Linked DNA regions of Astyanax mexicanus. The protein of the gene in region 2 interacts with the protein of the main gene of each other region in a pairwise test. Links are inferred from orthologs where the notes say so. Each region holds a gene or a part of one and is shown on either strand. Other genes may lie near its edges. The genes, in order: protein FAM124B, trim37, bifunctional polynucleotide phosphatase/kinase and mcm10.

Region 1 (7,152 bases), on a different chromosome or scaffold from region 2:
TTACTACCTCTTTACAGTTTTCCAACTGACAGACCAAAAGCTGTACAGGACTAGGATAGTAGTTGTATTCAATGTAACTTAGCCTTAGTATTTATTTGTTTACCAAAAGACTGGCTGACTTTCTTTGTGCACATTTCCGCTATCTACTGTGATCTACTGTGGATTTCTGTGGTCTTTATAAGGCTTTTTGATTCAATGTAGTAGCAAAAAGCACCTGCCTAATGCCAGGCATAGCCTGGAAAAGTATATCTAGTAGAAAGCCTTCCCCAGAGGACTGTTTCAGCAGTTACTCCAACAAAAGCAGGATGAATGAGCAACCTTACCTGAAAGAGGATCTTGTTGCCATCCAAGTCTTCGGTCTGCCAGCGGGTGGCACTTATAGGTGAACAAGGGTTCGGGAGCAATGGCACCAATTGACCAATCTCGCCCACTCTAAACTGCAGCACAGCAGAGTGGCATGTTTCAACCCTAACCCCAGGAGAGAGCTGTTTGAGGGCGAGTTGCAGACTGAGTCCCCTCTCTGCCATCAGGGTGAACCAACAGAACCCGGCTTTCTGCTCTTCTGCCCTCCTCCTCAGAACAGTTTCATATAGCCTCACAGTGTCCTCGTAGTTATCATAGCAGCTGTGTAATGTCAGACGCACCACTTCCCCTCCACAGTGCACCGGCCGTACCCCCCACACTGGCATGCCAGTGCCCAGGCTGTAGAAGTCCCGGCTGGGCAGCAGGTACGGCCGCAACAGGGCACTGGAGGGTGAGCTGGTGGAGCTGATGTGGACGCCCTGTCCCGTCCTACTTCCACAACTCTCCGTGTGGTGGTACTGCCAAGGTGGACACTGGAGGAAGTCCAGAACTCTGAGGATACGCTCCTCCCCATACGACTCATGCAGGAACAGGGTTACCGCCAGGGACGGGTAGCCGGCCACAGGTGGCAGGGCGTAGTCACGCACTGGACAGGCGCGTTCCGACACATGGAAGAGGCGAAGACCAGGGCACACCCATTTCAGGAGGCGGTCCAGGGTGTGCTGGAGGAGGAGAGAGTCTCCAGGGTTGGCCAGCAGGTGCATGGTGACCAGCGGGGGCTCCTGACCCGGGCCTGCCATGAGGTCAACTAATCGCAACAGACACAAAGAGGCAGAGGCGGGGAAGAGGGAGGATTATAGAAAGTGCTGAAAGCATAAAAACAGGTTTAAAATTGTGGCTTCAAGCTGATTACTGCAACATGCAGTGGGTTTAACATGAACATGACTGAATTGCAATAAAGACCTAATCCAATTTAAGTATACAAACTGTACTTACGGCTGCTGCAAGATATTTTGCTGCAGTCGGACCTGCAAGTAAAGACAGTCAGAGCTGTGAACAATTCTTAGCTTACCACAAAATACTCTAATATAGACTTCTTGTAAGTATTTTGGACAATTTTATGAACATTCTTAGGAAGATACAGGTACAAGTCCCAATATTACTATTAATAATAATGCTACTACTACTGTTACTACTACCACTATTACTGATACTACTACTACTACTACTGTTACTACTACTATTACTACTTTTGCTATTGTTACTACTACTACTACTACTACTAATAATAATAATAATAATACGAATATAAACACTTTTAAAGAAATATATTCAACAAAAAAAATTAAATCAGTTATTTTTCTTCTCATATTTATGATGTAAAATTAACTGTAGCATGTGATATCTCGATAAAGCAAAGCTTTTGCGAATACTTTATAAATGCATAACTTTATTGTTATTATCATGACTATTATAAATAATAATAATAATAATAATAATAATAATACGAAAAATCTTAGAAACCTAACCTAAGTAACTTATATTTTTGTATGATTAATTAATTCACAGCGGTGGGGGGGAAAGAGGCAAATCTGAAATCGATTAACGTAGATTAACGTTAAAATAGATCTGAAAAGAGTCTTGAGACTAGTTATAACATCTGTTTGCATTGCTTATTCTGAATATTTCAGTTAACTTAACGTTATGCTTTAACTTTAAAAAAAGACAGAGAAAAAATATATATCGTTCACAAAAAAAAAGTAATTAATTCTTATTAAACATGGGCAAATGCTGTGGGTTTGCTGGCTTTTATTTATCAAACAATAAAATTAAAAATATCATACAAATAAACAAGTGTTTTTTGTTGTAATAAAAAGTATATTAATATTAGGAACCTAAGTAATATATATATATGTATAATTAACGTTAGTTAACTAACTTAACTTCACAGCGGGAAAAAGGCAATCTGGAGTCGATTAACGTTAAATTAGATTAACGGTAATTATTTTAAAATAACATAAGATAACTTTATTTTTTTATCTGAAAAGTCTTGAGAATAGTTCTAAACCTTTCTTTTCTCGTTTTTTAATTGTTTAGTTACACTTTTAGTTGAAAAAGACAGTAAAAACAGTGAATTCCAAGTAATTAATCCAGTTCAGCGTTTTTATAGCTGCAGCGGCTCTCCGTCGCCCTCCTGGAGACACCAAACAAAGTCACTAAGCGACCCTCAGCCAACAGTAGCATCTGATGCTAAAGCTAAAGCTAACTATAAGTAACTCACCCTGCGGTCTCCGCTCCGGAGTCTGCGGGCTCATCCTCCACCCTGCTGTGGTATAGGTAGGGTTTGCGCAGCATTATTCCACCATTTACTCCTTTTTTCTTGTCTGAATTCGTCGTCAAGTGACACACGAACTTTCCATTGCGGAATAAAGCGACCCGCTGCTGCTGCTTTGTAACGTTAGATAAATTTAGGTAAAGTTAACTAAGCTAGTTAGCTAACGCTAGCTAAGCTAGTTAGTTGTTTTGGGTTTTGTCTAATTCAGCGTAGTAAATAAAACTAGACACGTCTTTTCCCGTCCCCTAAAAGTGTTTAACAGTGCTGTAAGACTAACTACGTGATGCAAAGCCTCCAGCACAGCTTCCAAAAATGCAGTCTGCAGTATCCAGCTGTATGGGGAAAGGCTACCCCCAGTCTCTCAGACTGGGAATTACAATTCAAACAGATGGCTGTCAGCCCACGACTGGCTGAGACAAAAGAGCAGCAGACGGCTCTGAAAAGATTTTAAGGTACAGGCAGGGTGACCCTGGTATTATTTATTTATCTGGCGAGTTTTAGACATTGTCTGTTCGATTAACCCCCCCACACAGACACGGTGTGAGGCATTCTGAGACAGTGCTATTAGCCAGTTAACAGTTACAGTCATCAACATTAATGCAGTGTATAAGAGAGAAGCTTAACCCTCCTGTTATGTTACAAAAGTTTAGGAAAAATAGTAATTTTTTTCAGGTTGAAACTTAATTAGTGTAACCAACAAAAAATATGAAAATGTTGAAAATTATTATGTACACAGTATCAAAATGCCATTTTTGTGTAAATAATTCTCAGTATTTTTTTGCATCAAGTCTGAAAGCTCTGCATCTATTTTGTTATTTCAGACATTTCTTATTTTCTGCAAATAAATGCTCTAAATGACAATTTTTTTTTATTTGGAATTTGGGAGAAATGTTGCCCTCCTCCAAGTCATAATTTTAAGATAATACCCCCAGATGTATGTCTTCAGCATATTGTTTAATTCTTTTAGCCAAATACTTGATATACGCTCAAATTATAAAAAAAGATTACTGCAAAACTTTGCTTGAAATTATGTCCTAGACAGATATGTAAATGATTACAGGTGTGGTCTGATTAGAAACTGGGTATTTCCACAATAAACAATGACATTTTAACCCCTGCTTTCCTATAAAAAAGAGGAGCTACTTTTGGATAGTGTACCTTATGGTGAGAGATTGTTGACGGTTGGGACATTAAGACAATTTGGCCAGTTGAAAGACTTTGAAAAGTAGCACATCATTGGACTGGAAAAGCAAGATGGTTGTTTCACAAATTGTCCACAATCTAGGCCACCTGTCAGCCAGGCACCATCACAGTGCAGTGGTGTTGTGAGACTATTGTGAACACGTTGCTGTCTTTGCTGTGGAGTGACACTGCGCCATATGCTGATGTTATGATAAAATTCAGTCTCGGGCTGCTAAAGGCTTTTTCAATTTGTATGTGTACGTTAATCCTTAAGGTAAATATACAGTAGGGGTGTGCCATATTGAGTCGTTCGCGATAATATCGGAAACATTTTTGAATATCGTGAACGATATTATACCCTAAAAATATTGTGCCATATCACCCACCCCTCATGATCACATCAGGGTACTCATTTTTTTTGCTGTTTTTAGCAAAAGAATAATCACACTGTTTTCATTTTCCATTATATATCTACTAGAGACAGATTATATCTGTCCAGTATCATTTATTTTATTTTAATCCTGGATATATGGGGATATTTGGAGTGCATTATTATTAGTATCGTATACATAAATCATATGCAATATAATAATAAAATAATATAATAAAATAAAAAAATCATTTTGTTGCAGTAGTGTATTCTTAAATACAAACAAATAATTAATTTATATCGCCAAGAGTATCGTTGTCGCGAAAATACCATGAAATATCGTGATATTATTTTAGGACCATATCACCCACCCCTAATATACAGTCTGGACTGTTATGTAACAGTTTCAGGTTTTTGGAACTGGCCCATATTTTTCCCTATTATACTCATGTTTATTAAAATACCAACCATATACCAAGCTTTACTGTGACAATGGGGGAACGTGATTTCTTACAATGCAAATAAACACCCAAAGCAGCAAATCCATTTATTTTTTCCTCCTTTTTCTACATTTAATAATGATGAAAACAAGGCCCTGTACAGTCCACTTCAGTGAGTACAATAACAATTATTTTACAATTTTTACACATTGAGACATGGTGCTCCAGAAGTTCCTCCTTTGCTAGAAGAAAAAAAGGGAAAAAAAACTTAATAATAATAATAATAATAATAATAACTGCATTGGAAGGACCCCCTACAAAAAGCTAATGTTTAAATTTTACATTTGGCCATGCCAAATCTGGAAAGAAATATGGAAAAAAATACAACCAAACCACTTCTTTAATAAACTTTGAAAAAGTTATTTCACCCCTCTTCAGAAAAGGCATGCTCAGAAAGCAACTACTATGGCTCTTCGATAAACGACGACGTCCTCCTTTTTAAAATCTTCTGCAGGCAGCCAATAGTGTTAAACAACCTGTACAACCAACATGGTGCCACAGACTACAAACACGTCTACACAGACATTGGGGGGAGGGAGCTGAAATAAAAATCAGTCTGGGAAGGTGTGCGTATTACACTCTGACCTGAATGGCCTTCAGGAGCCATCCCGCGCTGGAAAGAAAAACAATAAACCCACATCACTCTTGTCTTATTTGGGCACTTTCGTTGTTGGATTTGTAGGTCAGGTTTATAGGCTTCATCGCGACTCTATCACAGTTCTCTCACAGAGACGGACACCTCGTCTACAAGCCCAGAGCTGAATCTGATCCAGCTCCATGGGGGCTTTGGAAGGCTTTTGTGTGAATCGCTAAGAGCTATTTAAAACAAGTCCGTACAACAGGTTAAAGGTTAACTTCTCAGTTTTCCCCAGTAGCGATGAAAAAAAAAAGAAGAAAAAAAAGAAAAAAAAAAAAAAAGAAACAAAACAAAACAAAAAATAAATAAAAAAAACAATTAACCTCCCAGTTCATGCGTATGACCAAGTCCCAGAACTAATGCTCTCACACTCACGCTCCCTTTCACTCCACACCAGGTTTCACTTGAAATTCACGCCGCGTTTATGCTACGTAAGTGTACACTTTACGGTCTTCTGGCGTTCTTGCCAAGTATTCCCTCTCAATAAGTCCTTCAATGCGCTTTTTAATGACCACAGGACTTGGGAGGAATCGTGCCCGCAACTGCTGAGTGACCTGCAGGAGAGTGAAAGAAAACGGTTGGGTGGTTAACAAACATTAAACAGAAAAAAAGAGATAACATTTAAATAAACTTATTTTATAAATATTAAACATAATGCTTGTCATGCATTAAATATATACACTTTATTTTAGTAATCTGTGAATTCTGGTTGTGTTTCACCATATATATATTCCTTTAAAGACTTGAATATTTTTGATTGCTGAATTACATGTACAGGTGCTGGTCAACGAATTAGAATAATTTGAAATAGTGCAATCATGAAATTCTTTGAATGCATTTTTTGTGCAGAAAGCAAATCAGGTGTTCACCGCACCTGTCCTACTCGTTAGACTAATCACAGAACTCGTTACCTGGAAAAAAAATTGCTCAGCTGAGCTTTCTAAAAGGCCCATTTAGGCCATTTAACTGTGACACTGTTGTTTTATTGAATTAGAATAATGGAGAAACCGTTTCATTGAATTAGAATAAATGCTCGAATTTTTGTTTTCTGTGAAGAGTGTTCACTGTGCAGTATAAAGTCAGGGTTGAGTAGAATTTAAGTTGTAAAATCAATCATGGGTAAGCAGCGCGACCTCTCAACCGGAATAGTGGCTCAAATTCAAGCCCTTCGCCAACAAGGCTTGACCCAAACTAAAATTGCTGAGCAGCTCGGCATCAGCCAGTCTTCCGTCTGCAAAGCTCTCAAGAAAAACTGCAGCAAGCGCACCAACTGTTCCGGCGTCCGAAAAACTTCTGCTCGCGACAACAAGCAGCTGAGAAAGATCGCAGTCAGCAACCGGTTCAAGTCCACTTCCGAGCTCACCGACTTGTGGAACAAGCAGACCGGCGCTGACGTCTCCAGATCAACCACTTACCGTCGTCTGCGCGAACTCGGCTTCAAATCTCGCGTTCCAGCAGTAAAACCGATGCTGAACAAGAAACAAATGGAGAAACGGCTGAAGTGGGCCAAAGAACACGGCGAGTGGACTGCTGAAGACTGGCAGAAAGTGGTCTTCAGTGACGAATCACGCTTCTGCATCTCCTTCGGTGACCAAGGTCCTCGTGTCTGGCGTCGTGGTGGCGAAACCTACAACCACGAGTGCGTGAAAAGATCCGTCAAGTTTCCCCAGAGCGTTATGGTCTGGGGATGCATGTCCGCTCGAGGTGTAGGGAAACTCTGCTTCCTCAAGAAGACGGTCAATGCTGCCGTATATCAAGATGTTCTGGAAACGTTCCTGATTCCGACTGTTGAGGAACAGTTCGGCGAAGAAGACTTCATATTTCA
Region 2 (6,908 bases):
ATTGGTAAGGTGCAAAACCTGAATTAATCTCTCTGTTGTTTGCTTACTGGCTTTCTCACTATGAGAGAGTCCTATGCATGTGCACTGGAATCTGATTCATGTCCTTTTTATAAAATGTATTACTGTTTGTGCCACCGCCATACTTTACATTACCATTACCTTCTTGTGGATGACACAAACACCTTGCTAAATTGTGCTTGCTTACAGACAGTTGTGCAGTTATTCCAATAACAACTGTTCAGCCCTGGGCAGGTATTTCACAAAGTAAGTTTTCTCAGTTTAGCCAGAAAACTCAATTAAAAAAAAAAAAAAAAAAGTTGAAGTTAAAGGACATTCTTACTGCACAATCTAACTTAAGCTATGTAACAAAATAAAAAAATCAAGCTTTGTGTAACACTTCCCTCTATGTGTGTGTGTGTGTGTGTGTGTGTGTGTGTGTGTGTGTGTACACAAACCCGTATGCAGCTGAAACAGCAGAGTTTGGAGCAGTGAGGGCAGAGGCGAGCATCTCGCAGCTTCTCCATACAGATGAAGCAGCGGAACACCTCCGCTATACTCTAAAAGGAGATAAATAAAACATACATCATTATATGACAAATGCATGCAACCATGTTCGAATCCTGTTAGTGGCTTGCCATCAGCTACTGGAGCCCTGAAAGAGCACAACTGGCCTTGCTCTCTCTGGGTGGGTAGATGGTGCTCTCTTCCCACATCACTCCAAAGGGTGATGTCAATCAGCACAAGCCATCTATGAGCTGACGTATCAGAACCGAGTGGCTGCACTATTGTCTGAGTGTGCTGTCATGCTACTCGGCAATGCTGCATCTGCAGCAGTGGCTGAATTCACATGTATTGGAGGAGGCTTGTGCTAGTCTTCACCCCCCTGGTATTGTGGCATTGCTAGTAATAGGGGGAATCCTACTGGGTGGGTTGGGTAATATATCTAATCATTTGAGGTTACAAATGACTCAGAAGACTTCTGAAGGCACCCTGTGGTATTTAGCTCCAATATGTTAGCAAAAGATATTTTAAGTCCTGTAATTTGGATCCTGTAATGGATTGCATAATTGAACTAATGACCTTGTTGCTGTTAAACATGGTTTATTCAGGGACGTTCCAAAAGACCTGCCATTGTAAAGATGCTCAGACCTAGGCCTTTTGCCACCATAATCTGACCTGTCATAGACGCTTATTTGTTTCAAAACTACTGTAAGTATAAAACAAAAATTAATGTAAGGAAAATGCCTTTAAGGACAAAACCTTCACCCCACATCCCACCACTCCCCAAAACACATTTTTTTTTAAACCATGATGACTATAATGTTATATTAAAATGTTAATGTTGATAAATTTGAGATGCACTAGGCTCCCTGTTCAGCTGCATATATGCCCACTGAAAATAAATGCAAACATATTTAAGAAGCTTAGTTGAGTCTCGGCACGGATCATCTTCACACTAGGCTACATACGTCTGTATGTGAATGATGAGAAGCTGGAATGAAAATGAGCTGAAATTAACTAGAAGTAACAAGTATTTTTTAATTGTAAGGAGTAAAAAGTTTAGATATTTGTGTAACATTTTTACTTAAGTAAGGTAATTAAGTATTTCTACTTGACACCTTAGCTCAGATTACACTACTAAGAAAATCAATGTTACTTTTACTGTCAGTGGTGTTAATGCACTGAATGATCTGTTTACATTTCTCAGAAACACAAAAAAACTAGTTGCAAAACTGTAATCAGCTGTAATTTACAATCTCCAGACAACCTAAACTGACAATGTTTTATCTGTAAACATGATGGCCCAATTTCCCAGACCCTGAATCTGGACTACTTCTGTGTGAATCACTATAACCATAATTGCAATTTAGTCCCAAATAGGACTTAATTGAGGTCATCCAGAAAGCTGAATTGACATGCTCCATATTACCAAGCAACTTATAATAATGCAATATAAAGCCTGAACCAAAAAAAAACACACATTCAACCTACCTCTACACTCTGCTCATCCATGTCAGCCAGTTTTATTAGTATTTGAAGATAACCTATGGTCCTTGTGAACAGACCCCAGATGAGCTGATCAGAAAAGAGAAAAGAACAAGATAAGATGATTGGGTGAAATTCATGTCTGAGGTAAAACAACAGACCACTATTGACAAAGCTTGTTAAGCACCATCAGTATGCAAACCTAAGACCTGACCACTACAACAAGCACGTGCAGCAAAGGTATTGTTTTGATATTGGTATTTAAAAATTCACCTTAAAGCAAAAGACACAGCAGATTATTCCTAATTAATTGTGAACAACTGTGGAAAATACAGCTTAGTGCTCTGAATGAATTATCTAAAACAAACAAACAAACAAACAGATTCAGGGCAAGGCCTGATTAAATTAAGCTTTTAAGTTTGGATGTTAGTTTGCTTGTTTCCTAAGCTTAAAGACAGTCTGACTTCAAGCTACAACCCAGACTGTTGTAAAAAGCACCCCTAAAGTAATTAAAATAAAAAGAGCAACATATTAAAGCAGAGTTTAATCTATTTGCACGCTAAACCACGCGATTTATATCAGTTCAGAACTACTAGAAGCAGATAACGCTATATAAACGCCGCCAAATCAGGCTAAACTATCTGGAGGAAAACAAAGAAATATATAAATTACACTCAACTAAAGCGATACGGCGCTGAATTAGGGTTAATCCCGATTTCAATCAGATAAATCGATTGATTAGAGCTCGAGTTCACCCACACGGCTTATAAACAGTGTCTACCTTTAGCATAGCATAGCTACGACTCAGTTAGCTAGCTAACGCTGGCTAGCTTACATTAAATGTTTCTCTGGAAATTAAGGTGTGAAGAGTTTGGCGTTACCTCGCAGTGTGACTCTCAGCGGGCGATATTCTGTATAAAACCTCTACATCAACATTAACTGTCACAGTTCAGTCACCGATATTCCTCCTCCTGCAGCCGTTAGCAGTGCGTTAGCTTAGCATTCCCACTGCTGCTGGGCAGTGTCCGTCACCATGGGAAACCGCTTCCACCAATCACAGCAGTTGCTCTGTTTTACGAAAACCAATCAAAAACGTCCTTGGGAATGAGAAGGTGGGGTTTGATCTCACACCCCACCCACATCTCAAGAAAGCTGCATTGCAGCTCTGCTGCAGATTACCAGTAATCGATCAATACTGTGGAGAAAAGTGAAATATGTATATGTTTATATTATATTTTAGCCTGTTCATACATTAACTACCGTAAGGCAAGACAAGGCAAGTTTATTTATATAGCACTTTTAATACAAACTAAAAAATACACAGTCACATAACCAATAACAATAAAAATGGAAACAAAAATAAAATAAGAATAAAGTATGGATAAAACATGATTTAAATATAACCAAAACAATAAAATAAATAAAGAATAAAATAATAAAGAAAATAAAGAAAATTAACTAAATGAATTAGAATAAAAGTGGCATTACAACTAGAAAGACATTTCTAACAGAATTACAATAAATACAATTTAAATATAAAAAATAAATTTAAGATATGATACAGAACAATGTTCAAGACAATGACAAGATATTATAATTAAAAGAATATGTAAGTAATGAACAAAAAATACTACAAGAAATTAAGTACTAACAATGTGCAAAGCAGAGCAAGTTAATTATTGTGGAATGCTTAGGTAAACAGATATGTTTTCAGCTTTTTCGTAAAAGAGGCTAAAGTATGAGCACATAACTTAATCAGTTACTTTTAGGAATCTGGACAACTATTCAAAACTCAGGAAGATCAGGTTTTTTTATTTACTGTATAAAGGCTCAATCTTATTTCACTCCTTGGCCTTTGAAACTGAGATTTTTCAGAGGCACACTGAAAACAGAGGGTTTGAGAGTCACTGGCAAGATTGTGGCACAAATAAACAAAGAAATCCACAAAATTGAGAATTGTCCTTGTTACAATAACAGTAACTTCTAAATTATCATAGTTTAATGTTTAGTTTTAATGTTTATCGCCATTTCTTTCAGTAACAGTAGTTGGTCTCTAGCGTTAGCTAGCTAAATTCCCTTTTCCACCTTAAATGGTGCACCAGAAGGAGGAGGCTGCACCATTTAAGGTGAAACAGAAAATAAAAGCTAATTTGAACTCCACATCACAGAAGAATTAAGACATGTACAATAATAATTAAGTTCTGCACCACCTGCACCCTTTCTGAAGACCTATTATACCATAAAGTAACTAGTTAACCAGCAGCGAGGTTTCTGGAATTTAGCACTCCACTGCGATAGCTAAATCTGTATCAGGAGCTTGAAGAGTTGTCCCAATTCTTAAGGGGAGGATTTCACCCCCTCCCCTCTGTAACTCTGTCTAAATAGAAAGGGTTATATTCGAAAATAAGAGGTAGGAGTAAAAAATAGAAATGGGATGGAGCCTCAGTCTTTACTCACTCCTCCTAAAGTGGATGGTAAACACTTCTCAAATCGCTAAACAAAAACGAGATTCATAAACAATAACCTTGTTTAACCTGGTGATTTTATTATCCCCTATATCAATTATTGTGAGAATTTTAAACAACGTCCCCCTCAAAGCTCACCTAACAACGAAAGAGAGAGAGAGAGAGAGAGAGAGAGAGAGAGAGAGAGAGAGAGAGAGAGAGAGAGAGAGAGAGAGAGAGAGAGAGAGAGAGAGAGATTTTGTGCTCGTGTCTCCTGAGAGAAAGTGACCCGTATTCTAATCTGAGTGAGCCTGGAGAGCTGCAGCAGCAGTTTGGAGGAACGTGCGGCCTTTATTAAAACGGGCCATTTTGGAACATCCCAAATGTTCTCGTACAAATTAAATAGTTATATACGAAAACTAAACACCCTGTCACAGCTCTGATTCAATGATGAGATCATCCACCGTTACTTTTTAACTTGGCCATTTGTATTAGTGTATTTTGATATGTATTAATAGTGTGTAGGGTTAGCATTTCATTGTGATTATATATGCTTTAATTATATTACATTAAGCTTGTTCTATAAATGTTTTGTTTTTCTTTAGTGTATGAAAGGTTGTTTATCATGATTTAGAGGAATAGTAGAATGTTTTGTAGAAAATAACAGACGCTTAATTGCAGTACGTTTGCTGTCAGAGCTTTTCCATTTAAACAGACCACTAGGTGTCAGTATTGTTCTGCGTTTTCATAATGAATCCAGATCATATAGAATTAAGCTCACTTTAAACCATCCCCAAAAAAAAATAATAATAATAATTACAGTTCCAGTCCAGTACCAGTTTGGCCTGGACACGTCTTAAATTCAGTGGCATTTCATGATTTAGTTAACAAAGAAGTGTTAAACACAACAGAATATGTTTTATATTTTAGATCCTCTTGCTTAGATTTGCACATATTGGCTGGATTTTCTCAGTCACCTGGAACAGCTTTCAGTTAACAGCTCTTCAGTTAAGCTCTTGCCCTCTTAGGGTGTTTGAAAGCATCATTTGTAAAGTTGTGAAGAGTTAGAGTTGGTATACAGTAAATAGCACTAATTCATATTATGGCAAGAACTACTCACATAAACAAAGAAAAAATGAATAAATAAATAAATTAAGTCAATCCAAAAATGTCAAGAACTTTGAAACTATCCTCAAGTGCAGACGCAAAGACCATCAAAACATAAAACTAGCTGTCATCAGGACTTCCCTAGGCAAGAGTTTCCTCAGTTGCACAGGATAAGTTAATCAGAGTTTCCAGCCTCAGAAACTGAAAGTTAACAGCAGCCTAGACAAGAGCATCTAAATATGTCACAGAGTGTTTTGGTTTGTTTAACAATTTTTACGTTACTACATGTTCCTTCTTAGTCTGGATGATTTTACTATTAATTTACAATGTGAAAAAGTAGTAAAAACATTGAATCAGAAGGTGTAGTATTGCATATGTATATAAATTAGTGTTCTGATTGGCTGCCCTATACTGTGCTTATTTCCACAAGCAGTTCAGGTTAAAACACCTGAGCTAGAATGAGCTATACTGCTGTAGGCTGAATTGGACAGTATAAATTGCTGTGGAATTAATGGATAGGGCTTAACTGCTATTAGCTAAATAGGTACAGATAAACCAGTGTAGACGGAGTCAGACTGGAACTCGGTTCTATAGGCGAAATTGGTGGAGCTTAGAACTTAAATTAACTATACTGTTGTAGAGTGAATAGGTGGGGTTGAACAGCTGTAGAGTTAAGTAGAGCTGAACTGCTGAGCTACCAGATTAAGTACAAATGTAATCATTTTACAACATACTACCAATTCAAATGTCACATTTCATTCAGAAACAAACACTGTCAAACGTATACAGGTTTTATTAACAGGGCAATTGCAGATTTTCACAGACAACACAACAATTCCAGTGACTTTTATTTTATAAATGAATGAATTAAAAATGTTACATCTCCTCACAAATAAGCAAATCTTTAAGATGAAACCCAACATTAGCTTTAAATGATTTTAGTGTTTGTGCACCTGTTAGTACTAAAAATCAGTGTAAACACAAAACAACCTGATCAACCCTCTGCGTTTCAGTCGCGAATGACCGTAATTAGTGATCATTTTTGTTACTTGGTGATAAGGCTATGAGTAAATTTGTGTTAAAGGAGATATTTATTGAAAAACTAAAAAAACAAATGTTAATGACTGACCCCAGATTCAGACGTAAACCTGAGATGATTGCTATCTGACGTGAGATTCTTTAGTTTGCAACATGAGATGCTAGGCTAACATTTCTAACAAACACTGGGCTTGTACTGTCATTAAGCTTATCTCCGTAGACAGCCAAATTATCTTGGTAAATGCTACATAAAATCTGTTTTTTTTTGTTTGTTTTTTTTTTTTTAACATGACTTTATAACATTGGCATTGACATTATTTGGAGTCATATTTC
Region 3 (7,461 bases), on a different chromosome or scaffold from region 2:
CTACTTTTGCAAACTAGTCCTAGGAATTTTGACCAATCCTGTTTGGTATCAAAACACTCGTGAGAGCATGCGCTTCAATATTCATTAAGAAAAAGTTGAAATATGTAAACAATATGGCCGCCATATGCAAATTAGTCCTTCCGGATATATGCCCCATTCACTTCAAGAGGTAAATTTGGAGCACTGTTTCTCAGCAACCGTGCAACCTAGCAAGTTGAAACTTTGCATGCAGAATCTATCATACAGCCTCTAAAGGATGTTCAAAGGGCAACTTAATCAATCAACATGGCTGAACACCATCAGCCAATCAGCATTCAGCAGACATTTTGGCAGGCTGAATGTTGCCCAATCTGGATGATATTTGGCAGTTATGTTCAGGTGGAGACACTGTAGTGACCTGCAAAGTGCTGAAACAATCCGCCCACTGGGGGGCGCTGTTCCAAAAAAACGAGTATATGTCAATCATGCTGTACTATTTTGACATCTAATTGTTTTTGCCATATTTAGTACAGTGGCTCTGACAAATTTCTCAATACAACTATGTTTAAAAAGTGCTTTGTTCATTCATAATTGCTAATTGTTTGAAAATAGCTATATTGAAACTACTCTCTGGATATTTGGCCTATCACCTCCATTTCAGTCTTGCTGCACACTGTAGAGTCTCTAGGTAAATGTTCATTAAAAACATTTGTGAAAATTTCACATACAATACTCTCCAGGCATCAAGCAATCTGTGCGTCCTTGGAATTTCTAACCTAAATTGCTGTAACTCTGCAGTATTTGCTGTAATCTCACAATGTTAAAGACCTCTGTACAATATCACTCTGATGAAGCGCCATTTAATACAGAACTAGATTAAGAATAACTTGACATTACATGTCATATCAGAACATTCACTCCTTTGTGCCTCTTCTCAACATTAATAACAGGTGAAAGACTTTTGATCATTTCTAAATGTGACAGAATGTCTCCAATTGTGTTAGACCTTCTTACACATCACCATCCTATGCTCTAGTAGGCACCATTGTGCTAGTTGGTGCTTGATGAAGCGCCATTTAATTCAGAACTAGATTTATAATAACTTCGTAATTACATGTCATATCAGAACATTCACTCCTTTGTGTTAATTTAAACTTGTTTGGTCAAACATTTCAGCTTGTTCTGCAAAGGTTCAAAGGTCAATCTGAATACCACTTTGTGAACATTCTGGTTGAAGCCACCTGATCAATACCAATAACATGTAGACACCTTTTGACTAGTTCTAACTCACTTAATGAATATCCTACAAAGTTCACTAGATTTACATGTGAATTTAAGCACTGATCAGGTTGAAAGGCCTCTGCTCAACATTAATAACAGGTGAAAAACTTGATAATTTCTAAATGTGACAGGGCATCTCCAATCATATTAGACCTTCTTACACATCACCATTCAATGCTCCAGTAGGCACCATTGTGCAAGTTGGTGCTTGAACCCGATGATTGCCGCTTGCGGCTATATTTATTATTATTATTATTATTATTATTATTATTATTATTATTATTATTATTATTATATATTTTTTTATCATTCATTTCAAACAACCTTACAGGATATAGCACCTAATTATAACACAAGTTAACAATCGGTCCAGACCTTGGCCTTTCGAAATTTCCTCTAACTGGACCATAATGAATTCTAGTTAAGATCTTCCCATACACCTTTTTTTTTTCTTCTGTTTCATCTTCTCACAGACACCATGATAAGAACGTGCTGCCCAGACAGGCTGGAGCTGATCACGTCACTGGAGCTGGACAACAAACTGTTAACTGGACTCTGTTGATGTAGCCAAATTAAAAGATACTATCCAGTTGCATTGGATCCTATTGATTTACATGTCATTTGCACTCTCTCTCTCTCTCTCTCTCTCTGGGTTGTGAATGTGTTGATCTATAGAGATACAATTATACATTGTGTTGACCTGTTGATGTACTTTTACTCTTTTCTAAAGTATCTATTGATATATGTTCCTTTTATATATCTGTAATGCTGAAACAATTTTCAAGTAAAAATTAACTTATTTTAAATTCCAGACTTTAACTCAATATCTATCTTTTTATGCTCTGGGATTTCTCACATTCGAGTTTTAGTCATGCTGTGGTAAATTACTCTACAGTAAAAAAGTGAAATCATTTGCTGGTGAGAATTCAGACACACAATTCATAAAATATCTGTTTAAAATAAAAATAAAAAAATACTTCACGTTGGGACATGTTGACTCTTAGATAATTCATGTTTTGTAAATCTTTTTAAACCATAAATCTTTCAAACAGTTATGCATATGTTCATAAGAGGGTGGAGATCCTGTGTATGTTCAAATATATGCTACAAATAAATGCTACAATTTGTACATGTCCCTTTCGTAATAAAGTATTATAAAAAATATAAATATAATTTAATTTCCAAAAAGTTTCAAAGTCCGATTGGAACTCAAACCCAGAAATGAATGATGTATTCACTTTCGCTTTACTTACATGGTTTGATTTGAGGTGCTGTCCTACTGGCTGTAGAATGAACTGTACTTCTTAATATTACAGGTTTATCCAGCTAATTCCGACGTTAAATCGTGATATATTTATGCTGTGCTGTAATTTTACCAGAATGATTTTCTCTTAACTGCCTGCAGGAGGAACTGATAGATCATTAATCTGTAGGAAATTTTAGTCCAGACCCCTCTCCTCCTCCCCTTCGTTCAACAGAGAGTCTATATAGAGAAGAGCACCCACTCCAGACCGTTTACCCTGTTTATTCAGCCTCCAGAGGGCGCTCCAGAATTAATAAGTTCATATGAAGCAACTGAGCAAAATCAGAGTTTATCTTTGCTGTAGTTGGGCAACAAAGAACAGAACACAAAAATGTGACTTTATAGCAAAAAAGTATCGCAATAAACCCACAGCATATATCAAGGATATCGGAAAAAGGCAGTTTGGCTTTGCCATTAGCAAGCGAGCTAACTAACTTAGTTAGTTAGCGTTAGCGCCACAGGCTAGGCTAGCTAAAGATATAATTACTTTGACTGAGTAACATCTAAGGCAAAAGAAGCACTAAATATCTGTATACAGTAAGAGACACTGTACTAAATCCATAGCTAGCATATATCAATCATATCCAAAAGGGGTCTTTTTTCTCTGTGGTTGCTAGCGTTAGCTATCTCATAGTTAGCACCCACGCAGTTCAGAGACAGTTGGGTCGTCTTTTTAGACTCGGATCTATTAATACAGCAGGGAACACAGCACTGGGCCATATTAACAGACTCAATGCAGTGGTTTAAGAGTATTGCGCAATAATATTGGTGCCAAGTATGATAAAAAAAAAAAAAAAAGCTTTAGCGTGTCATAACAAGAAGCCCTTTTTTTTCTGAAGTACGACATAGTAACTTACAAAAAACAGATTTCTTATAATTACAAGATGTTTATTTTATAATTACGACATACAATGTTGTTTTAACAACATTACTTAAAAACAAGATACTTTTTCATAATAATGGGATATGTATTTTATAATTACGACAGTGATTTTTAAAAATAGGTAGTTTCTCTAAATTAGGGGATGTTTATTTTATTATTACAATATCTCAAAAAACAAGATATTTTCTCGTAATTATGACATTTATTTTATAAATACGACACAGTAACTCATAACAACGAGTTAGTTTCTCATACTAATGCTATGTTTGTTTTATAATTACAACATACTATGTTGTTACGACATACTTTGTCGTTTAAACTATATTAAAGCTCATAAAAACGAGAGTTTCTCGTTATAACGACATGCTAAAGTTTTTTTTAGGAGACTTAGGAGCAATACCTTCAGTAGGAACTCACCAACCAATCAACACTGACTAGCAGCAATGCTAGCGCCTTTACTGAATAAAACCCGTTTACTGTAGAGACATTTAACAATATAGACTAGATTTCTTTACTTTTTTAGTAAAATACTTCATTGTACTTTCCAAAATACAATTAATATACAGGGTAAATAGTTAGTTATGTTTTTAAATAAAGTTTTTGCCGTTTAGCTCTATTTTTCTCTATTTATGAAGGACTTTCTCGCGGGCTCTCTCTAGCGGTGCGCAGTTGCATTATCTGATTATAATAATACGGCATAGCGGGCGGTACCGGAAATAGGTAGTCTTGCCATTAAAACAGCTGTGGCTTGACTTCCACTTGGGAAAATCTATTTATTATTATTTTAAAGGGATGTCTCTTTTGTTCTTTTTTAATGTTAACGTTAATAAATCAATATAACGCACTGTATTATTGTTTGTTCTACTTTATCTTGCGTTTAAAAGGTCAAAAAAGTATTTAAAACAATAATATTTATCAGGACGGGTGATAAACTGAGATTTTAGATGTGTTGTAAAGAAAGTAACCCCCCTATTTCCTTTCTGTGTTTTTTCCTGCGCTTTGAAGTGCGTATGGGAAGTGAGCGAGGGCTGGATTGGGACAGAGTGGGCTGTTGAAAGGGACGCGTTGTGTAGCTGTTTAGATAGTTTGTTAGCCGACTAACTATTATCCTTGTTTTCTGTCGTTTTTAAAGTCTTGAAGGCGTTTTAAAGTCGTAATCTGGTCAGTGCGCTGTTTCGCGTTTGGCTGGTTAGTATGTTAGCTGCTTGAAGGTGGTGGAGAGCTGTTTCTGTTTAGTTTAGTGTTAGTTAGCTAAGATATGCTAAGTGTATTTAAATGTTCTGTGATGTAGGATTATATTAATATTAATATGTATAATTCTGATGTGATTTAAAGCCGTAAAATAAATGATAAGTGAGGAATAAGTGTATTAAATCCTTTTTATTTAACTACAGGTTGCTGGTCGTAGAGCGTAGGGAACAGATAAGTAAACGACCGCACTCCTCGGAATGAAGTGTGCACTACTGAGTCCCTCAGGAGCCCGGGTGGAGCTGTGTGATGGACGCGCCCTGATCCTGGGTCGGGGTCCTGAGTCTGGAGTGAAGGATAAACAGTGTTCCAGACATCAGGGTAAATACACCCTTACAGCCTCTTCTGTATTATACAGAGACCCTAAGGCATACCTGTCAAGTCTCCCGTTTTGGCCGGGAAACTACCGTATTTTATTCCTCTTTCCCGCCGTCCTCCCGTTTTAGTATTTTCCCGTAAATTTCCCGTATTATACTAAATAAAAAATATATATAGGCCACAGGCGACAATGCACTGACCGCTGTGTGTCTCTTAACCAATCGTGGTGCCGGTTCAAGGAGAAAGTCCCGCCTTTCAGGAGAAACAGCCAATCAGCTAGCTGGTTTTGCGGAGCGCAGTTTAGTGTGCGGGAAGCCCCGCCCCTCCCCTCGCTGTGAGTTCAGGCAGCTAGTCGGAGCAGCTGTCGTTAAAACTAATCTGGATATACGGAGATTTTTCTAAAAGAAAGGTAATTAACCATGTAAACTGTGATGAGATTGTTTCTGATAGCTGGTTAAAAAGACTCTTCTCTGAATCAAAACATAAATTAAACCCACTGTGTGTTTAATAAAATACAGCTTAACTTTAGAATTAGCTAGATAGATATTCAGGGTTTGAGAAAAAAAAAAAAAAAAAAAAAAAAAAAAAAAAAAATATATATATATATATATATATATATATATATATATATATATATATATATATATATATATATATATATATATATATATATAATGCCCTGCCCTGATGTGCCTGATCAGCCAATAACTATCATTTCCAAACTCTATTAGTTCAGGGCTAGTTTTAGGGTTTGTTAGAATTTGTTTAAATCTCAAGTATTGTGGTAATGTATTATAATGTAATGTAATGTATTATTTAGAAGGGGTGGAAGAGATGGTTGAGCTGGAGAGAGAGAAAATGTGGAGAGGGCTGAAATTAACTGAACTGATCAGGAGTGGACTGAACAATAGAAAGAAGTATTAATGAAAGATTATTAATTGTGTAGGCCCCTTAGGACTATTATTTACTTATGGAATATATCTGATCCATGTCCTTTTTGTAAATTTGTGCACCCTTCAATTTCAATTTTAAATCTATTAAATAAATAAATAAATAAATATATATATATATATATATATATATATATATATATATATATATATATATATAATATATATATATATATATATATTTTTTTTTTTTTTTCCCTCGTTTGGGCTGTTGGGGCGGCGGAAAAAATCCCTTATTTTTAAGTCCAAAACTTGACAGGTATGCCCTAAGGTGACATCATGTTTAACAAAAAAATATAGCATGGCCACCACTTATTAAGACATGGGAACAAGATACTAACAGGTGGGAATGAAATAATTAAGGCGTGTGAATGAGAAAACTAAGACATGGCCACCACTTATTTAGGCGTGAGAACGAGATCCTAATGGGCGGAAATGAGAAAATGAAGGCTTGGACACAGCTTATGAAGGCATTGGAACGAGATACTAATGTGTGGCAACAACTTATTAAGGTGTGGGAATGACATCCTAACGGGTGGGAATAAGATAATTAAGTTGTGGCCACAGCTTACTAACCTGTGGGAACAAAATGCTAATGCGTTCCCGAAACTTATTAAGGCGTGGGACAACACTCTAATGGGTGGGAATAAGATAATTAAGTCGTAGCCACGAAAAAAATGTAGGCATGGGAACAAGATGCGTGGGAATGAGATTCTACTGGGTGGCAATGAGATAAGTAAGGTGTGTGAATGAGATAATTAAGTTGTGGCCATGACTTATTAAGGCATGGGAACTAGATACTAATGCATGGCAATGTCTTATTAGGCTGTGGGAACGAGATCCTAATGGGTGGGAATGAGATAATTAATGTTTGTGACTGAGATAATTAAGTTGTGGCCATGACTTATGAAGGCATAGGAATGAGATACTAAAGAGTGGGAATGAGATAATTAAGGCAAAGGAATGAGTTTCTAATTGGTGGGAATGAGAAAATTAAATTGTGGCCACAACTTATTAAGGCATGGGAACAAGGTACTAATGCATGTCCACGACTTATGAAGGAGTGGGAACAAGATCCTAATGGGTAGAAATTAGATAATTAAAGTGTGTGAATGAGAAAATTAAGTCATGGCCACGACTCATTACGGTGTTGGAACGAAATCCTAATCGGTGGAAATTATGGTGACATAATGTAAAAAAAAAAAAAGGCAAGGGCACAACTTTTTAAGGAGTGGGAACAACATCCTAATGTGTGGCTACGACTTATTAAGGCTAGGGAACAACATACTAATGGTTGGGAAAGAGATAATTAAGGCATGTAAATGAGATAATTAAGTCATGGCCACAAGAAAATTATGTCGTGGACAGAGAATAATAAAGTTGGCTTTTCTGTAAATGAATGCCCATGATGAAACTGAATATTACATCAAAGCTCCTTTAATTCAAGGATGATCTTAAGAAAATGGAGAGTGGCACCGAGTGGTCCAGCGGTCTAAAGC
Region 4 (7,241 bases), on a different chromosome or scaffold from region 2:
TTAAACTCAGTGCTCTGACTTTAACTCCAGCATCAGCTCACCAATCCGTCAGCTCACAGTAGCAGTAATGCAGCGCCTTTACTGCCTAAAATTCGTTTACTGTAGAAAAACTGAAAAATAAATGGAGGTTTTCTTTGTACATAATTTTAATTTTCAACATCAAAGGATTTTCTGGCTAAGTGAACAGTTACTGTTTAATTTCACACTAAATAATCTATTACTGTTTTTTATTACCACCAGAGGGCGCTGTCGAGTGAGCCCAAAACGAATAAGTTCCTATGGAGCAATTGAGCATTTTTGTGTTCAAAAATGGTTAATGTTATCATTTCATCAACATAGAACAATAGTCATTTTCTGATATAATGGTGGAGAAAAAAAAGTAGGCAGTCTCTCTATAAACCAGCTCTGATATTACAGCTTTATTATCGAGGTCTACTGTTTTTAACAGCGACACTAAAACCACAGAATACACACTAAATAATCTATTCCCGTTTTTGACCACCAGATGGCGCTGTTGAGCCCAAAATGAATACGTTCTTAATGATCCATTGAGCAAAATCTAAGTTTATAAATGTTTTATGTTCTCATTTCATCAACACAGAACAAATATCACATATTTTAATACCGCAGATATAATGTTTTAGGTTTTAAACTCCAGTTATAAATATTTTAAACTCAGTGCTCTGACTGTAACTCCAGCATCAGCTCACCAATCCGTCAGCTCACAGTAGCAGTAATGCAGCGCCTTTACTGCCTAAAATTCGTTTACTGTAGAAAAACTGAAAAATAAATGGAGGTTTTCTTTGTACATAATTCTAATTTTCAACATTAAAGGATTTTCTGGCTAAGTGAACAGTTACTGTTTAATTTCACACTAAATAATCTATTCCTATTTTTTTACCACCAGAGGGCGCTGTCGAGTGAGCCCAAAACGAATAAATTCATATGGAGCAATTGAGCATTTTTGAGTTCAAAAATGGTTAATGTTATCATTTCATCAACATAGAACAATAGTCATTTTCTGATATAATGGTGGAGAAAAAAAGAAGGCAGTCTCTCCATAAACCAGCTCTGATATTACAGCTTTATTATCGAGGTCTACTGTTTTTAACAGCGACACCAAAACCACAGAATACACACTAAATAATCTATTCCCGTTTTTGACCACCAGAGGGCGCTGTCGAGTGAGCAAAAATATACTACGTTCATATGGATCCATTGAGCAAAATCTAAGTTTATAAATGTTTTACTTTCTCACAGTAGTAGTACTACAGCACTTTTTACTGTCTAAAATTCGTTTACTGTAGAAAAACTGAAACATAAATGGAGGTTTTCTTTGTACATAATTCTAATTTCCAACATTAAAATAATGTTCTGGCTAAATGGACAGTTACTATGTTTAATTTCACACTAAATAATCTAGTTCCGTTTTTTTACCACCAGAGGGCGCTCCCGAGTGAGCCCCACAATTTCACAATGGAGCAAAAAACTGAGCGAAATTCGGGTTTATAAATGTTTAGTGTTCTCATTCCATCAACACAGAAGAATATCACGTTTTTTATACCGCAGAAATATTTTAAAGCTTTTAAACTCCAGTTATAAATATTTTAAACACAGTGCTCTAACTGTAACTCCAGTATCAGCTCATCTTCCAGTCAGCTCACAGTAGCAGTAGTGCCTTTACTGCCTAAAATCTGTTTACTGTAGAAAAACTGAAAAATAAAGTGAGTTTTTCTTTGTACATAATTCTAATTTCCTACATTAAAGGAATTTCCTGGCTAGGTGAACAGTACTATTTTTATTTTGAGTTTCAGCTATTTAGCTCCATTCACCCCCATTCATTTTGGACTCATTCCCTCTAGAGGTTATCAGCAATTTCCTGATTTAACGGTGGAGATAGTACAGTGGGCAGTCTCTCCATAAACCAGCCCTCATATTACGACTTTATTATCAAGTCTACTATGTGTAACAGCGGCACTAAAACCACAGAACCTCTACACAGGAGAATGCACACAAAATAATTTATTGCCGGTTGGTTTTTTTAACCACCAAAGGGCGCTTCTGAATAAGCCCCACAATTAATAATTTTCTACGGATTAACTGATCAAAAAGTTTATAATATTTAATGTTCTCATTTCATCACCACAGAACAATAGTTCATGTTTTAATACCGCAGCTATATAGTTTTTTAAGTTTTCAAACTCCAGTTATAAACATTTCAAACCCAGGGCTTGAGTTCGATCCGTTTAATGTAGAAAAACTAAATAATATAGGGGGATTTTCTTTGTACATAATTATGATTTTTCAAAATCAAAGAAATTTCCAGGCCAAATGGACAGCTGCGATGTTTCATTTTTTTTTCTATTTTAACAGCGACACTAAAACCACAGAACTTCTACACAAACGATTGCCCACTTAATAATCTTTGCCGGGTTTGTTTTACCACCAGAGGGCGCTCCCAAGTGAGCCCAGATTTAATAGGTTCATATGGAGCAACTGAGCAAAATTGTTGTCAACAAATGCTTGATCATTTGTACACTGAAAATTTTACTTACATTTTTTTAACACAAGACAAATTAAAATGTTTTTGTACCTCAGACATATACATTTTTAAAGCTTTTAAACTCCAGCTATAAACCTTTTAAACTCTAATGCTTGCGTCTTTACTGCCTATAACCCGTTTGCTGTAGAAAAAATATATTGGTATGTTTTCTTTGCCTTTTCTTTGTCTTTTCAGTAACTTTAATCTACTTTATGAAATTAAATGAATATATTGGCCAAATGGTTAGTTACTATTTTTATTTGAGGTTTAATCTGTTTAGAGTCATTCACCACCATTCACTGAAGACTCACTCGATGGCTCCCTCTAGCGGTTAAAAGTCATTTTCTCATATATAGGGCATATATGAAGGTGGACAGTCTCTCCATAAAAACAGCTCTGATATGACTTTAATCTGTTTCTGAATGAATGCAGGAGGCTCCCAGCCATGTCTGATCTGAAGTTAGTAATCTAGCCTTCTGTTTCACTGTATGACAACACGGCTAAACACTCATTAGGTAGCAGGGAGCTGTCATTTCATCACTACAGATCCTACAGTGGCGATTCTAGGATCAGAGGTTTAACCTCGAGATATTCCAGAAGCAGAAGACCTTATCAGCAAAAATCCAACAAAGTGCAAAAACAACAAAGACAACCTAAACCTAAACGCAAATCATTTTCCAATAACTGCAAAGGATAAATATTATTTTACATTTGATTTTTAAACTTTTGTTTGCAGGTTTTATTAATTTGTGTCAAACCTTTGGCATAAAATTAACTCCATATATTTTCATTGTAAAAATAATATGTATACTTTTAAGGTTTGAACATTTAAAAAAAAAATTACTAAAAACAAACTCTAGTGTAACTACCAAAAAAAATGCCATAAAACAAAGGTCTGCTTAAAAAATTGCAAACGAACACTTAAAAGCTTCCAAAAATATTGTGATATTATGATATGGAGTATTTTCATTGTGTCAAATTTTTTTTTATTAAAGAAGCACCTAGTCAATATTTTTAAAACTGCAGTACACATATTTTGGACTTATTTTTAAGGATTTGTAAAATGAAAGCAAAATCCAAACACAAAAACTCTCCTGTTTTCACCAGAACTGTCTGTCTGGAGAATAAATTGTGTTCTAAAACCAGGTGTTTCTGTTTGATTGTCCAACCCCTGTATTTTCGTTATTAAAATAATATGTATAGTTTTCAAGGTTTGAAAATTTGTAAGACAAATTTACTCAAAACAAAAAGAAAACTACAAAAACACCCCAGTAAAGGGCTAGCGGCGCCTGTGATCACTACACTGACTTTAAGTTAGGTCTGGTAGTTGAGTGTGGGCAGCAAGTCAGCATGTGTTACGTTTCAGATACGAACGGTATGATCTACACTGCATGAGGACGAAGAACTTTACCGCGCAGATGATTTGAAGATCAGCACCTTAAGGACCGCCTGGCATCCTGTGTGCGCCTGTAGATACGAAGCGGGAGACAGAGAATCGTAAAACCCATTAATAATCAAATCAATTAGAAACAGAATGTTATCTATATAGTGTCATTCATAAACGATATCTATACATAACATACATAACTAAAATTACTTCTCTGTTATTATTACTCTTAATTCATATATATGTTTTTTGAACAGGCACTGGTGTTGCCTTTTGTACTGACGTCGGTTTAGGGCGTATCATATTTTAACATTTTTCGCGCCACCGCAGAGCAGCAGCAGACGGGAACGGGCTGAACAACATTTTACCTGGATTTGGAGTCCATATTCCTGATATATTAAATATTTAGGAATATAATAAGCCCGGTACTGTAGCATTGTTGTGATTGGTGTGTTGCTGGTGTGAGAGCTGGGGGGCGGACTGTGTGTTATTCTGTTTTTGAGTTCAGAAGAACAAATCGACAGATCTGTTCTTCAGAGCTACAGATTCATTTGACCCTGAAAAAATACTGAACATCAGACTCATCAGAATCTTCCATCAGATAAACACAGCGCTGCTTCAGTTCAGAGAGAAGGACTGGAGCTGCAGAGATGACTGGTAAGTAGATCTAGAAGCTGGTTGAATTTGGCTTTTAAACTTTCCACCTTAAATGGCGCGCCGGTTACATACAGTAGCTCATAGTTCGCTTCAGACAGCGGCGGGTTTTAACCCTTTTAGACCCTGCATACTTTACAATAGACATCATGTATTTTCTTTATTTTTAAACATTTTGTTGCACATAACACTATTTAAGAGCTGTTGTCCATCAGAACAGACCATGCAACAGCCAATTATAAACGAAACAGCAGCTTGGTCACATCCACTGCACTGGGAAAACAGTAGTACTAGAGCCATTAAGGCAAAGTAACTTTTTTTTTTTTTTTTTTTACAAATATAATGATAGTGATAAAATATAAATATAGTGATTTAGAACACTTTTTAATTTTACTGTTAATAAAATAAAAATGTCACTATAAAAAAATAAATTATTAAATATTCCAGGTAATAGCTATGATTTATTTGTTTACCATTATTTCCATCACTGGAGATAATTCATGTCTAAAAGGGTTAAGGTGGAGCTGGAAATTAGTTTTTTTTGTTGTTTTATAAACAGAGCTTGTTATTAGCAGATTTAGAGAATCTGTCTTACCTCGTCTCTGTTTGTGTGCCTGTTGTTCATATGGTTTATTATTAGGTAACAGTTATTGTTTGGTAAAAAGTCAGGCAAGTTAGATTAGCCATCGTTAGATAATTTAGCAAAACCAAGTTAGTTAACCTATAATGGTTATAATTATGTTTATATACATTATGTAAATAAGTGAGTATACTCCCACATTTAGCCCTGGTAACGATAATTACGTCATAGATTTACTGTACAATATACGGACATGAGCTCAATACATTTACGAGGCTTTGCTGATATCTTTACAGTCCATTGTTTTGTCAGCATATTTACAGTCTGCATATAAACTACAAACAAACAATTAAAAGTAAATAGTGTAAATCAATCAAATACAAAATAAACAGCTTCCATTAGGTATTTTACAAGGAAGATATATTGTCCCAGAAATTATTACGATAAACAATATTTTTGTAATTTTAAGACCATTAAATTCAAGTAATTATAATGATAATATAGTAGCATGACAAAGCAATTAAACCCTTACATAAACAACACAATGTTAATTAATCATAGATTGGGGGATATATGCTTAATTCTTCCCCTACTGCTGTCCACAACATGAGAATGGAGTGGACAATATCATGAATATCAAATATTATTGAGGGCATGTCAATTTATTGTATGATAAGACAATAATGTAGTTATTGTGAAAGGCCTAGCTTCCAAAAATATCGACATATCACAATATGGTTTCAGTGTGTCAAAAAACATTTATATGATACAATATAACACACCACTAGTTCACTGCTCTTTAGGAGGGTGTAATTGTAGTGTCATGCTTTAATATTAACATTATATCAGTGCTGTAAATTCTACACAAGCTTTGGGTTTGTGTTTAATATGGGATTTCAAGTATCCTAATTGTTAGATTTCAATAATAAATATAATTACTTATCTTTCTAAGTTTTATGAAGATGGACTTTATAATGCCAGTGCTTTCTGATTTACGATTAACAGCAGAGGATGAGAACCTGGACCTGCTGCTTTCCTTGTTTGAGGAGAGTCAGGGTCAGAAGATAGAGACTTCTGCTGCTGGAGAAGAGGACAATCTGGATAATCTGTTTGATGATGATGGTGATGAAGGAGAAGCCTATGCTGAGCCAGAAGAAGAAGAAGCAGAAGAGGTTGTGGAAGCTGCAAACTCAAGTGCAGAAGTGGAAAGTGAACTCAATAAATCCAAAGAGGACTTGGAGGGTAAGGTTAAATAGTTTTACGCTAATGTAACATTTTATTTAAATAAAAATTACTGAGAATCTTAAGTTGACATGTTCTATTGAAATTCCTGTTGTAAAACTTTAGCGGAGTTGAGGAGCATGCGTGAGAAGATGCAGAAGCTACAGCAGCAGCTGCAGGCATCTCAGAAAGGTGCAGATTATAAACCCAAACCTGCTGAAGATAAACCCTCCTCACAGAAACAGATAAGCAGCAGAACTTCACCAGCAGCAAAGCTTCCTGCCAAGCGCCTGACCTCTCCTCAGCAGTCTAGCAAACCTGCTCTACAAACACGTCTTCCCAGCCAATCCCCCCCATCTGCACCGAGAGGGGCTATAGGGTCTCCACCTCTAGAAACAGAGGGCAGGCAGATAACTGCACACCAAGCCAAAGCAGGTACATGTTTTTTCTTATGTATGTACAGAGAGCAATTAAACACAGTTAAGATGCGATCAGTAGAAAATAAGCGCTACAGCAGTCCAGTTTCAAAACACCAGATAGAGTTGTCTGCCCTGCCCACCCTTCCACAGACACAAAGCTCACTCGGGTTGCCAAGCTGAAAACACTGAACCTACACAAACAAGTGCAAGACGAATTCAACAACTTCAATCATGGCAAACGACATTATTAACCATCTTATGTGGATTTTATATAACTTTACATAATGAGTGTTGGGGAATGAGAAGCAGGCAGAGGCAGAAGCCAACACCCACACTGGTTTCTGTGATGTACTGCACAGTTCTAGTAATAAAATACTGGGTTTAGCTCTGCAGACAACAGATGGCAGTGCTTGAACTTTGATGATACACCCTAATTGT

The links.
Region 1: the proteins of trim37 (region 2) and protein FAM124B interact in a two-hybrid assay, tested with the Homo sapiens proteins (2 studies listed by BioGRID and IntAct). The link is inferred for Astyanax mexicanus from reciprocal best matches to the Homo sapiens genes TRIM37 and FAM124B.
Region 3: the proteins of trim37 (region 2) and bifunctional polynucleotide phosphatase/kinase interact in binary tests that used the Homo sapiens proteins (3 or more experiments, as listed by UniProt). The two-hybrid records come from large-scale screens. The link is inferred for Astyanax mexicanus from reciprocal best matches to the Homo sapiens genes TRIM37 and PNKP.
Region 4: the proteins of trim37 (region 2) and mcm10 interact in a two-hybrid assay, tested with the Homo sapiens proteins (2 studies listed by BioGRID and IntAct). The link is inferred for Astyanax mexicanus from reciprocal best matches to the Homo sapiens genes TRIM37 and MCM10.

What each region holds. Positions count from the first base shown.
Region 1 is NC_064411.1:43,418,444-43,425,595, reverse strand, and holds the start of protein FAM124B, read right to left. Parts: upstream 3,008-7,152; 5' UTR 2,659-3,007; coding exon 2,585-2,658; intron 1,332-2,584; coding exon 1,300-1,331; intron 1,112-1,299; coding exon 324-1,111; intron 1-323. Other genes in the region: cul3b (cullin-3b), read right to left, coding at 5,750-5,881.
Region 2 is NC_064427.1:11,628,260-11,635,167, forward strand, and holds the start of trim37 (E3 ubiquitin-protein ligase TRIM37), read right to left. Parts: upstream 3,025-6,908; 5' UTR 2,868-3,024; intron 2,077-2,867; 5' UTR 2,014-2,076; coding exon 1,993-2,013; intron 558-1,992; coding exon 456-557; intron 1-455. UniProt on the Homo sapiens protein: E3 ubiquitin-protein ligase required to prevent centriole reduplication. Probably acts by ubiquitinating positive regulators of centriole reduplication.
Region 3 is NC_064425.1:32,500,835-32,508,295, forward strand, and holds the start of bifunctional polynucleotide phosphatase/kinase, read left to right. Parts: upstream 1-4,457; 5' UTR 4,458-4,607; exon of another isoform or gene 4,608-4,634; intron 4,635-4,840; 5' UTR 4,841-4,894; coding exon 4,895-5,015; intron 5,016-7,461. UniProt on the Homo sapiens protein: Plays a key role in the repair of DNA damage, functioning as part of both the non-homologous end-joining (NHEJ) and base excision repair (BER) pathways.
Region 4 is NC_064409.1:12,340,513-12,347,753, forward strand, and holds the start of mcm10 (protein MCM10 homolog), read left to right. Parts: upstream 1-4,230; 5' UTR 4,231-4,579; coding exon 4,580-4,586; intron 4,587-6,168; coding exon 6,169-6,405; intron 6,406-6,510; coding exon 6,511-6,819; intron 6,820-7,241. UniProt on the Homo sapiens protein: Acts as a replication initiation factor that brings together the MCM2-7 helicase and the DNA polymerase alpha/primase complex in order to initiate DNA replication. Additionally, plays a role in preventing DNA damage during replication.